Linked DNA regions of Callithrix jacchus. The protein of the gene in region 2 binds, or shares a complex with, the protein of the main gene of each other region. Links are inferred from orthologs where the notes say so. Each region holds a gene or a part of one and is shown on either strand. Other genes may lie near its edges.

The links.
Region 1: HYPK (region 2) and NAA50 share a complex: the UniProt entries of both Homo sapiens proteins name them as parts of the N-terminal acetyltransferase E (NatE)/HYPK complex. The link is inferred for Callithrix jacchus from reciprocal best matches to the Homo sapiens genes HYPK and NAA50.
Region 3: the proteins of HYPK (region 2) and NAA10 are in contact, whole or in part, in a crystal structure (PDB 6C95), measured with the Homo sapiens proteins. The link is inferred for Callithrix jacchus from reciprocal best matches to the Homo sapiens genes HYPK and NAA10. Residues at the interface, in NP_057484.4 of Homo sapiens: Lys27, His28, Ser30, Gly31, Asp34, Leu35, Arg37, Val38; in NP_003482.1 of Homo sapiens: Glu24, Tyr26, Lys29, Tyr30, Tyr33, Lys59, Glu134, Lys136, Tyr137.

Annotation. Positions count from the first base shown.
Region 1 is NC_133516.1:103,481,965-103,486,313, reverse strand, and holds the start of NAA50 (N-alpha-acetyltransferase 50), read right to left. Parts: upstream 2,901-4,349; 5' UTR 2,655-2,900; coding exon 2,647-2,654; intron 2,495-2,646; exon of another isoform or gene 2,070-2,494; intron 1-2,069. UniProt on the Homo sapiens protein: N-alpha-acetyltransferase that acetylates the N-terminus of proteins that retain their initiating methionine. Has a broad substrate specificity: able to acetylate the initiator methionine of most peptides, except for those with a proline in second position.
Region 2 is NC_133509.1:31,465,139-31,468,301, forward strand, and holds HYPK (huntingtin-interacting protein K), read left to right. Parts: upstream 1-1,331; coding exon 1,332-1,493; intron 1,494-1,836; coding exon 1,837-1,892; intron 1,893-2,217; coding exon 2,218-2,269; coding exon of another isoform or gene 2,270-2,277; intron 2,278-2,407; coding exon 2,408-2,503; 3' UTR 2,504-2,576; downstream 2,577-3,163. Other genes in the region: SERINC4 (serine incorporator 4), read right to left, coding at 35-211, 601-702. UniProt on the Homo sapiens protein: Component of several N-terminal acetyltransferase complexes. Inhibits the N-terminal acetylation activity of the N-terminal acetyltransferase NAA10-NAA15 complex (also called the NatA complex).
Region 3 is NC_133524.1:149,842,117-149,844,872, reverse strand, and holds the end of NAA10 (N-alpha-acetyltransferase 10), read left to right. Parts: intron 1-40; coding exon 41-85; intron 86-1,120; coding exon of another isoform or gene 1,121-1,257; coding exon 1,258-1,342; intron 1,343-1,858; coding exon 1,859-2,140; 3' UTR 2,141-2,206; downstream 2,207-2,756. UniProt on the Homo sapiens protein: Catalytic subunit of N-terminal acetyltransferase complexes which display alpha (N-terminal) acetyltransferase activity. Acetylates amino termini that are devoid of initiator methionine.

The DNA.
Region 1 (4,349 bases), on a different chromosome or scaffold from region 2:
GTCTTAAATACAGACTTAGAAGCAAAAAAAAAATTAAAGTTTCATCTCATCTGGGAGTTAGTTCATTTTTTAAGTTAAAGGGATTACTCCTGTGAAATCATCTTGAAGGTTTACTGTAAAGAACACAATTCTAAGCTCCCAGTCACAAGAAGTAATAGAAACTTTACAGGCATAGTTACTGGCATAAAGATACAGATGCAATAATTTTAAGTTTCCTCTAAATTCAGCCAGTTACTCATTTCTAGGGCTCTGTCTCCATCAGGTTACATGTAAATATCCATTTAAACAGAGATAAATTGCTCCATGAATATCTTAAAGGCAGACTGAATAATATGACTGGTTGGCTCATTTCTATTGCCAAGTTAGCGATCAGAAAGAACATTACACCCGATGGAGACTGAACTAGATTGAAGATTTTGGATCTAAACATACAGAATAATTTCCTGCAGTCCCCCTTTGTAAATCCATGGCAGTTTCAATATTGGGAACTCCTCGGTCTCATTTTTCTTACTGAACAGAACGTGGTAATAAGTACTAAGGGCCTGACAATGAGAACAAAAATGAGTAAGAGACAGCAACCAGCTCCAGAAGTGCAGTATATGCTGTACGTGGTGGCTCATGCCTGTAATCCTAGCACTTTGGGAGGCAGAGGCTGGTGGACTGCTTGAGCCCAGGAGTTTGAGATCATCAGCCTGGCCAACATAGTGAGACCTCCGTCTCTACAAAATATACAAAAATTATCCAGGAGAGTTGGTGCGCGCCTGTAGTCCCAACGACTCGGGAGGCTGAGGTGGGAGGACTGCTTGAGCGAGGAAGGCAGAGGTTGCAGTGGGCCGAGACCGAGCCACTCCACTCTGGCCTGGGTGACAGGGTGAGACCCTGTATCGAAGGGGGGAAAAAAAAAGGAAGAAGAAAAAAAAGAAGTGCAGCATAGCAGAAAAACAACATTCCCCAAATATGTTGGATTGTATCTAATACAGCCAAGCTTCCCAGATTATGACTCAAGTGGAGCAAATACTTCCTATACTCATCAATTAATTTCCCTAACTGGAACTCTCTAGAACTTGAAGTGAAACAATGCAGGTATGGTGAACAGTTCATGGTTCTTAAACTTCAAAGATTCTTAATACAAAACATACTATTCAACATTAGAATATCCAGTATTTAAAGGAAAATTAGAGTAAGGAAACATGTTACAGACCTAAGACCAAATTAAATTTTCTTGGAATTTCTCCAATAATCTCGAACACTGATACACAGAGATAATATGTAGGTCCTTATTTGGGGCAGTATGAGATTACGTTGAAAATGACTTTTACTTCATCCTCAAAAGGGCTGCTGAATAGTTGGACCGGCTTCGCTAACTTAAAACATAGTTACGATTTCCTAATCGATTTACAACAAGAACAAACTAAGGCATTGCAGAGAACTTGCTAACGATTATGAGCTTCCTTTCTTTGAGGGTAAAGACAAGCTCCAAAACGGCTTATTTAGGCAATGCTTTGGAACAACGTTATGTAATTAATATATATGTAATTAATATATTAGAACTATATAACTTAATGCTAAAGAGACATTTCGTAAAAATTTAAACAGTCGAGGCCGGGTGCGGTGGCTCCAGCCTGTAATCCCAGCACTTTGGGAGGCCGAGGCGGGCGGATCACGAGGTCAAGAGATCGAGACCATCCTGGTCAACATGGTGAAACCCCGTCTCTACTAAAAATACAAAAATTAGCTGGGCACGGTGGCGCATGCCTGTAATCCCAGCTACTCAGGAGGCTGAGGCAGGAGAATTGCCTGAACCCAGGAGGCGGAGGTTGCGGTGAGCCGAGACTGTGCCACTGCACTCCAGCCTGGCGCCTGGCGACAGAGACTCTATCTCAAGAAAAAAATAAAATAAAATTTAAGCAGTCGATAGAAAATAATTCCTGATTTTATCCAAGAGGCAAACGGTGAAAGAGCGAACATTTAGTCTGCCGATCACCTGAAGGGAGCAGCGTGGTAAAGTACCCAGGAAGCCCTCGGCACTCGGGGCAACGGTGAGCTGCTAAAGCAATAGCGCCACCTACCGATCCACGCGGTACTTCCTGGAAGATATTGGCTCCCCAAGTCCACCGTGATCGTGCCCCCCCCCGCTGTGACCCAACCCAAATCTAGTTGAGTCACTAGCTGTTAATACTCGTCCCCGCGCTCTGCGCTCTATTCCAACCTCCTCTTCCTCCGCAAGGTTCGGCTCCGCTCCCGAGCGTGAACCAAACACCGCCGCTGCAGAGTTGAGGCTGGAGACGGAAACCAACCGAACGACTCCACCTGGAGCGGCGGCCCGGGCGGCTCGGTGGTCCAACCCCGGGAGGGGGCCGCAGGCGCCGCACCGTAGCCTTTCCCTGTTGCCCCACTCACTCAGCCCGCACTCATCTCCGGACCGAAACCCCGGGACCCTGGGGTCCGGGCTCCGCTGGCCCTTCAGCCCGCCAACAGCCCGCGCCCCGCCTCCGCCCCCTCCGGGAGCGGCCGCACTGAGAAGCCCAGAAATCTCCCTCCGCCGGTCTTCGCCCCGAGACTCCGCTCCTCCGCGGCTCTCCCCCGCGACACCCGCCCGGGCCCCTCTACCCCGCCGGCCGAGCCCTGCCCAACTGCCCTTCTCACCCTTTCATCTTCCCCGCCTGCTGAGGCCGTCGTTACCACCGATATCAACGCCGCCGTCGTCGCCGCCCTCCGGTCTCCGCGCCCTCAGCTCGGACCACTCCACCCCGCAAGCCGGCCTCCTGGCCGGGGCAAGGAGCTGAGCTAGCGCCGAAGGCCGCGAGAGTCGAGCGAGGGCCTAAATCTCCGGTGGGGGCGGGGCTGTCTCCCTCCGCCGCGCAGGTCCCGCCGCTTCCCCACACGTGCGCTCGGGTCTCAGCTCCCTCCCGCCGCTACCGCCAGCCAGACCAGCCGCCGCGCGGTGACCTTTCACCCCGCCCCTCTGCGCGCCGGCGCGTCCGCCGCCTCACGCGCAGCCGCACTGCTCGCCCCCGCGCACCCTGCCCCCTCCACCCCGGAGCCTCCATCTTTCTCCCGGACTGTAGCTTCCGGCGTCCTTCTCCTCCCTCCCACCTATTACACTACTTGTGTGGCTGGCTCGGTAGGCCCTGGCGGTAAAACCCAGATTTTTCCACCCCTTCCTCTCCTGCCTCGTATCCGCACGATCGGTCTTTCTCGGACCCCTTCTTCCCGGTGTGTGGTCTCCAGAGTGACCTTCAAACGCTCTTGCCTTCCACTAGGGTTTTGTAAGGCTGGTTCTAATAAATGTAAATAAATCTGCGGAAAGCTCAGGTAAGTTAGGTGTCTTAAAACAATTAGACGTAGTTAGCGATGGGCCCGATCGCTCGGTTACTCTCCAGCACGCTTCCAGTTTTGAGCTCACGTGATGGACCCCAACCTCAGAGCCTGGAATTTTACAGGCGGCTTCCGGAGGGAAGGAACCCCGCCGCCATTTCCTGTCCCTCGATAGCGGCGTGAACGTCACTTCCTTAGCAGTGCGCTTTAGCCCTTGCTGTCCGCGTCTTCCACGTTGTACTTTACAACACGGTCCTTGTGAAAATTCATCTTTATTTCTTTAATCTAAGGAGATTAATATTCAAGGAATCTGTGAAAATACGGGCCCCCAAGTTGTAGCGAGATGGGATGAGGGAAGTCAGGGCGGAGCTGGACGTCACATGACTGTTGGACCCGCCCCCCTCCTCTGCAGCTGAGGACTTCCCCGCCCGTGGTGACAGAGCCTCTGGGTCCTCGCTCGGTACCGTCTCTGCACCTCGCGCCCCAGCAGGTGAGCGGCGGCCGGTGACTGGCGAGTGGTGGGGGCAGAACAGGTAAAAGGGGTAGAAGAAGGCAGAGCAGAGAGGAGGGAGAGTGTGAACGGCGACCTCCCTGCCTGAGGCTTCTTCCCCGCTGTCACCCTGCAGGGGCAAGGAGCTCATTTCCCCTGACTCCCCCTTCCCCAAGTGTGGTCGGCCCCGCTACTTGGGGATTGAGATGTCCACCTTTCCCAGGGTTGGGAGTGAGTGCGGCCATGATGATTCTGTAGTCAGAGCCTTTGGGGCTTCGGGTAGCAGATTATTTCAGCCGTTCCACAGGGTCTGCAGTAGACACTAGGTCCTGTTCCTTAACGCCCATTCTTTGGCAGAGATCCTCAGCGTCCTTACCCTCAGCTCAGGGCTGAGGAGCGGGGAGGAGGCAAAAACCCTGCAGGCAGAGGCGTCTCCGGTGAGACGGGCTTGGGAGGGACTGTCAGATACGGCCCTGACTGCGGAGTCGCTGTGAAGCTTCCCTCCGAATGTGCTTCCTCAGTCATTCTAAGGGTTTTATCT
Region 2 (3,163 bases):
TTCCCACCTGACAACCTGACCCCCTCTCACTTACCCTGTGTGTCTTGCCCCACACCCTTTCCACTACTGTCCTTGACAGCAGGAGGCAGCAGATTGCTGAGGCCCCCACATGGAGGAAGATGTAGAACAAGCGGCTGCAGGTGGATGCGGTGAGAAAGGGCCACCTAGAGTGGCAGCAGCTGGCACAAGGAGCAGGCCCACAGCAGCACACCTGGGGGTAGAGCAGATGCAAGGCGGCGAGGTGGACTTGCTGAGGAAAACCATATGTTAATGTATGTGTGAGGTTAACCCAGGAGGTTGAATTCCAAAATTTCCCTGTCCCCTTTCTTCCTTTGACTCAGGTTCTGTTTCAAGTTGGTTGCAGCCATTTGGGATTGCCTTCCACTGACAACTTACTAGGGGTTTCATTACAAGCAGGCTTCAGATATCTGACCTTTCTCTAGACCTAAACACCTGGGGCTGGGAACATAGCTGGATAGAGTTACAGATGACCAGGGGCAAAGAACCAGAACGACATTAGAAAAGAGGCCTGTCGTTTTTATTGGCTTCTGCAAGTTTTCCTCCCCAGCTTCAGCCACTCTCCCCTTTGTACCCTCTCACCTGACAGAAGGGGTTTTTCACTAGGACACTGCTGCTTCCGCTGTGCTGCTGTGCCAGACCCAGGGAGGTGCTGGGGCCAGGGCCGGCCTTGGCACCCACCATCCTTGTCCCAGGGATTAGGCTTAGGTCCACCAGATGGAAGGCAGATGAGAGCAGTAGCTGCTTCTTTCCTCAGCCCATTGGACTTCCACTGTGCTGGGGCTGAGCACCGGGTCGCAGGCAGAATGGGGACATCCGGAAGACAATGCTGACCTCCAGGATGCGGTAAATGCAAATGCCCTGTGAAGGAGTTTTCTCCTCAGGGCCTCATCACTGGGACCACTGAGGCTCTTCTCTCCAGATTAGGGGCTGTTTGTCTATCTGGTCTCTTGTGGATTAGCATTCTTAATTGGTTTAGGATTAGACGTCACCCATTCAGGTTGAACGGAGTTCCCTGAGGTAGGTGCGTGTGTATGTAGTGAGGTGACTGTTCTAGGTTAAGACGGGGGAAGGTGTCGGTGGGGCGGGCCGGAATGGTGACGGGTTAGGTATGACAGAAGACCTTGCAGAAGACAACACTGTAAAAGCCCTAAAGGAAGTCTAAGACAACCGCCTCCCTCGCTGAAGCTTCTAGAATTGGAGCAGAAAGAAGGTGTGGCCCAGGGCCAGCCCCGCCTCCTCCCCGGGCGGAAGTTGTCAGTTGCGGAAGTCGCCGTGGGGTGGGGCTTATGCAGCGGCGTGGTGAAATAGATATGGCGACCGAGGGGGATGTGGAGCTAGAGTTAGAGACCGAGACCAGTGGCCCAGAGCGACCTCCCGAGAAGCCACGGAAACATGACAGCGGCGCGGCGGACTTGGAGCGGGTCACCGACTATGCAGAGGAGAAGGAGATCCAGAGTTCCAATCTGGAGACGGTAAGGTTGGCCAAGAACGTCTCGGGGCGGGCTGAGAGCAGAGGGAGGCTCTGAGGCTGTAGCTGGAAGCCGGCGCCCTAAGACGGGATTCTGTTCCCCATGGCAGGAGGCGGCAATAGGATAGAACCGAGGGAAACAGCGGTCATCAGAGCCCGCCCTTGCCTAAAGAAGCTTGATAGTGGGCTTAAGGGGACCTCAGATGCATAGAATGGAACTAAACATAGTCCTTGCTACATGGTAACACTTATCTTGAATTCATACATGAGCCGCTTGTTTTATTGGCTTTTTAGATTATTGGGAATTGTGGGTAGCAGAGCAGTAACTAGACCTGCCTTTCCCATAGGCCATGTCTGTGATTGGAGACAGAAGGTCCCGGGAGCAGAAAGCCAAACAGGAGCGGTGAGTCTTCAGTGGTAGCCACCTTTAACAGTTCTTCCCTCCCCACTTCCCAGACAAAAATAAAAAGCATTATTAAGACTTTATACCGTTCTTCAACTTTATCACCAATTCCTGTAGATCTAGGCGCCATAACTTTACTATTCTAGTTAGCAGAAGGCCTTCTGGCAACACCTGCCCCCCAGACTTCAGGGGAAAGGAGTATTAGTGGGAGTTTTCAATCAAGTATTTACCAAGACTTATTTACAGAGCACATTTGGGAATGACCCTTCCTGGGAGTTTATGGTGTTTGTTGAGAATGAGGACTAATCTATTTAAATATTTGCAGGGAGAAAGAACTGGCAAAAGTCACTATCAAGAAGGAAGATCTGGAACTGATAGTGAGTAGTAGTGCCTGACTCTAGCGTATGAGCAGGGGAGGTTGTTCTACTTGGGTTGTTTCCTGAAACAAGTGGAGTCAGTATATTCGGTGGCACATTAGTGCCTGGGAACTTATCTAACATGATTTTTTTCTGCAGATGACCGAGATGGAGATATCTCGAGCAGCAGCAGAACGCAGCTTGCGGGAACACATGGGCAATGTGGTAGAGGCGCTTATTGCCCTAACCAACTGATGTGTGCTTTCTTAGATGTACCTACTGGATTAATTTATGGCAATAAATTTTTTTTTGTCTTTTTGCAGTTTCATCATCTTGGGTCCAGTGCAATATATACTATATTTTTGTGTGGGGAATTTATATGTTGGGGAATAATTGACTTTAAGTGACTCATTAACACCTTGGCACACCTATGTAAAAAATCAGTGAAGAATACCTTATGTGTAGATGCCAGGTGGCAGCCCAGTCTCATTCATCTGACTAGCTCTCAATAGTATTCAAGGTACATATGGAGTCTCAGCAGAGTTACTGTACTCAATGGTATGTGTCTCCAAGGTAGCTTATGAATATCTAAAAGGCCAGCTCCCTGCCTAGGAACCACCATATATAGGTAGATATAAGTTATGAACTCAGTTCATAGGCCACCTTGAGTTAGAATTTTGGTACCTACAACATGCTTGATTTGGAGTGATCAAAAAAAAAAAAAGAAAAGAAAAGAAACAGCTTAGGGGCCAGGCATGGTTGTTCCTGCCTGTAATCCCAACACTTTGGGAGGCTGAGGCAAGAGGATAATGTGAGAGCCCCACAGTTTGAGACCAGCCTGGACAACACAATGAGGCTTCATCTCTACCAAGAAAAAAAAATTTTAGGTACCTGAGGGTTAGAACATGGTAAGAC
Region 3 (2,756 bases), on a different chromosome or scaffold from region 2:
CCCAATCCGTGCAGCTCAGCAGTGCCTTGTTCTCCTGCAGTAACCGGGCCGCCCTGCACCTCTATTCCAACACCCTCAACTTTCAGTAAGTAGATCTTGGTGTCTGTAATGGGTTGGGGCTGGTCCCAGGTCTGGCTGTCAGGGCCGCTGAGACCAGCTGAGCTGCTTTCCAGGCAGGGGGTGGGCTAGCTACGGGGAGGAGGCTGTGGATCCCAGCGCTGCCAAGATGCCTCCCCACTCACTTGGTGGCTGATGGCTGAAATGTGCTCCATGTGTGTTGTGATGGAGGAGCTCTGGCCCATGCTGGCTGAGGCTGGTGAAGGGCACAGGGTTGTTTAGTCATGTTTGGGAATAGAGATGTGTGGGTCTCTGGCATGAGCAGATGCTAAGGAGCAGGACTCTGTGTGACCAAGCGCCTGGAAGCATCTAAGAGAGAGCAGAAGCAAGGAGAATGCATGTTCAGGAAGAAAGGGCCGGCGGCCAGGCAGCCTAGTGGATGGGGCAGGTCTGCCGAGGACCCGGAGGCCCCGTTTGCCTGGCCCAGGAGAGAGAACCTGGCAGTCAGTGTGCCCAGTAGACAGTGGAAAAAAGTGCTTGCAAGTGAAGCTGGGGTGGGCTACCCGTGTGCCCGTGGAGGGATGCTAACTGCACTCAGCACCAGTTTGACTGTTGGGAAGGGCGGTGGCCTCGGCTGGGTGCTGGCAGGAAGGATCTGTGACCCAGATGAGGATGTCTGGTGGAAACTGCTTTATAGTGAAGTCAACAGTCCTCATGTCTGAGGTCTGACAGGGCCAGCCTTCCAGGACATGGCCACCCGAGCCTGCACGCGTGCCTCCCCAGTGCGGGCTGGGCTGTGCTGCATAGGGATGCAGCCCTCAAACGGGCTCACCCACGTTCCTGTATTTTCATCACTGTGGTGAGGCAGCTCAGTAAGGGATAGGAAGCAGGGCAGAAAGGGAAGGGGAAGGCTGAATTCAGGGCTTCAGCTCACAAGAAACCACAGAAGGGGAATCCTTAGTAGCCAGGCTAAGGACACAGAACAGGAACAGGACAGGGGTGGGGCGGGCCACTGTTACCTGGAGCCTTTACTGGAAGTGGGGCCACTGGAGGATTCTTTCAGGCTGGACTTGCTGTCTCAGGATGGAGCCTTCAGGGAGAAAACATGTCACCTTGCTTCAGTAGCCATGATGCCAGGAGCAGAGGAGGATGTGTCCTGGGTATGGGTCTTCCTCCTTGCTCTCTGCCCTCTGCCCCCAGGATCAGTGAAGTGGAGCCCAAATACTATGCAGATGGGGAGGATGCCTACGCCATGAAGCGGGATCTCACCCAGATGGCGGACGAGGTGAGAGCGCTGCAGTTTAGCCAAGCGAGGCCAGTGGGGTCGGCCCTGTGGGCGGGGGGGAGGTGGCGGCACTTGAGAGCCCTGGGACAGTGGCTGGAAGCAAGACCAACTTTGGGCGCCAGCCCTTGTGGCCACATTGCCAGGACTCACGGCCTCAGTTTCCTAGGCTGGGCTTTAGAGGAGGCTGTCTGCCTAGCAGCAGCCTGGAGGGTGGTGGGAGAGGCAGACGGAGGAGGCTTTTAGAAGGGAAGTGGGACAGCCTGGGACCAGTGGGTGGCCTGCCTGCTCAGAGGTAGTTCTGAGTCAGGGTTCTGCCCAAGGTGGCAGGGCTGTTGAAGGGGCAGCACTCGGTCGTGGGGGCCTCCATGGTAGTCAGTGAACCCAGGGAGCAGTGGGCAAGGCTCCAGCCAGGTGTCCCCACTCAGTCCCGTGTGTCTTTCCTAGCCCTGCTGCTTCTCATTATGCCCGTCCCCTCAGCCAGCGACAAGTCCAGGCTCCCCTTGTCTGGAAACTTAGGCCCTGTATCTTTGCTCCCGCTTCTCCCTGGGCTCCTGGCGGCAGCTGAGGCGGCACCTGGAGCTGAAGGAGAAGGGCAGGCACATGGTGCTGGGCGCCATGGAGAACAAGGTGGAGAGCAAAGGCAGCTCACCTCCGAACTCAGGAGAGGCCTGTCGTGAGGAGAAGGGCCTGGCTGCTGAGGATAGTGGAGGGGACAGCAAGGACCTCAGCGAGGTCAGCGAGACCACAGAGAGCACAGATGTCAAAGACAGCTCAGAGGCCTCCGACTCGGCCTCCTAGAGCCTGCCCCGGCCCTTCCTCACCCCACGAGCTTTCACAATAAATTCGCTCTATGGCACTGGGGAACTTTGTGTGTGTGTGTGTGTGTGTGTGTGTGTGTGTGTGTGTGTATGCGCACGTGCGCTTGCACATTTAGAAGGTGTGTTTCTCCAGCTCCTCTGTCTGGTGGGGATGTGAACCTCACAGCCTTTTAAGCCAGGGCATCCTGCCAGGCCCGAGTAGAAGGGAGGAGCTTTGTGAGAGCCTTGGGGGTGGGACTCCCCAGTCTCATAACCTTCAGCAGCTGTGGCCCCAGGGAAGGAGGCCCTAGACTTCCGGGAGAGACCCTGCCTCAGAGGCCTGCTCGGCCACGCCGAATGTGTTTTGTGCAAGCCTCGGCCGCTCAGGCTCAAAGCTCAACAGCGGGCTCCCATTCTTCAGTACTTCTGCTTGGCTCTTGAGTGTCCCACCTCCAGCCCTTTTCTCTCCTAATCACACTTGCTTTGGGCTACAGCAGCTCCACTACACCCCGTGGGCTTCAGATGTAGACATCCAACTGCTCATTGGGCCTGTCTACAGCTGTCCTGTCTGAGTAATGACCCAGCCAGATGCCCAGTTGCTCAAGCCCTGTCAGTGG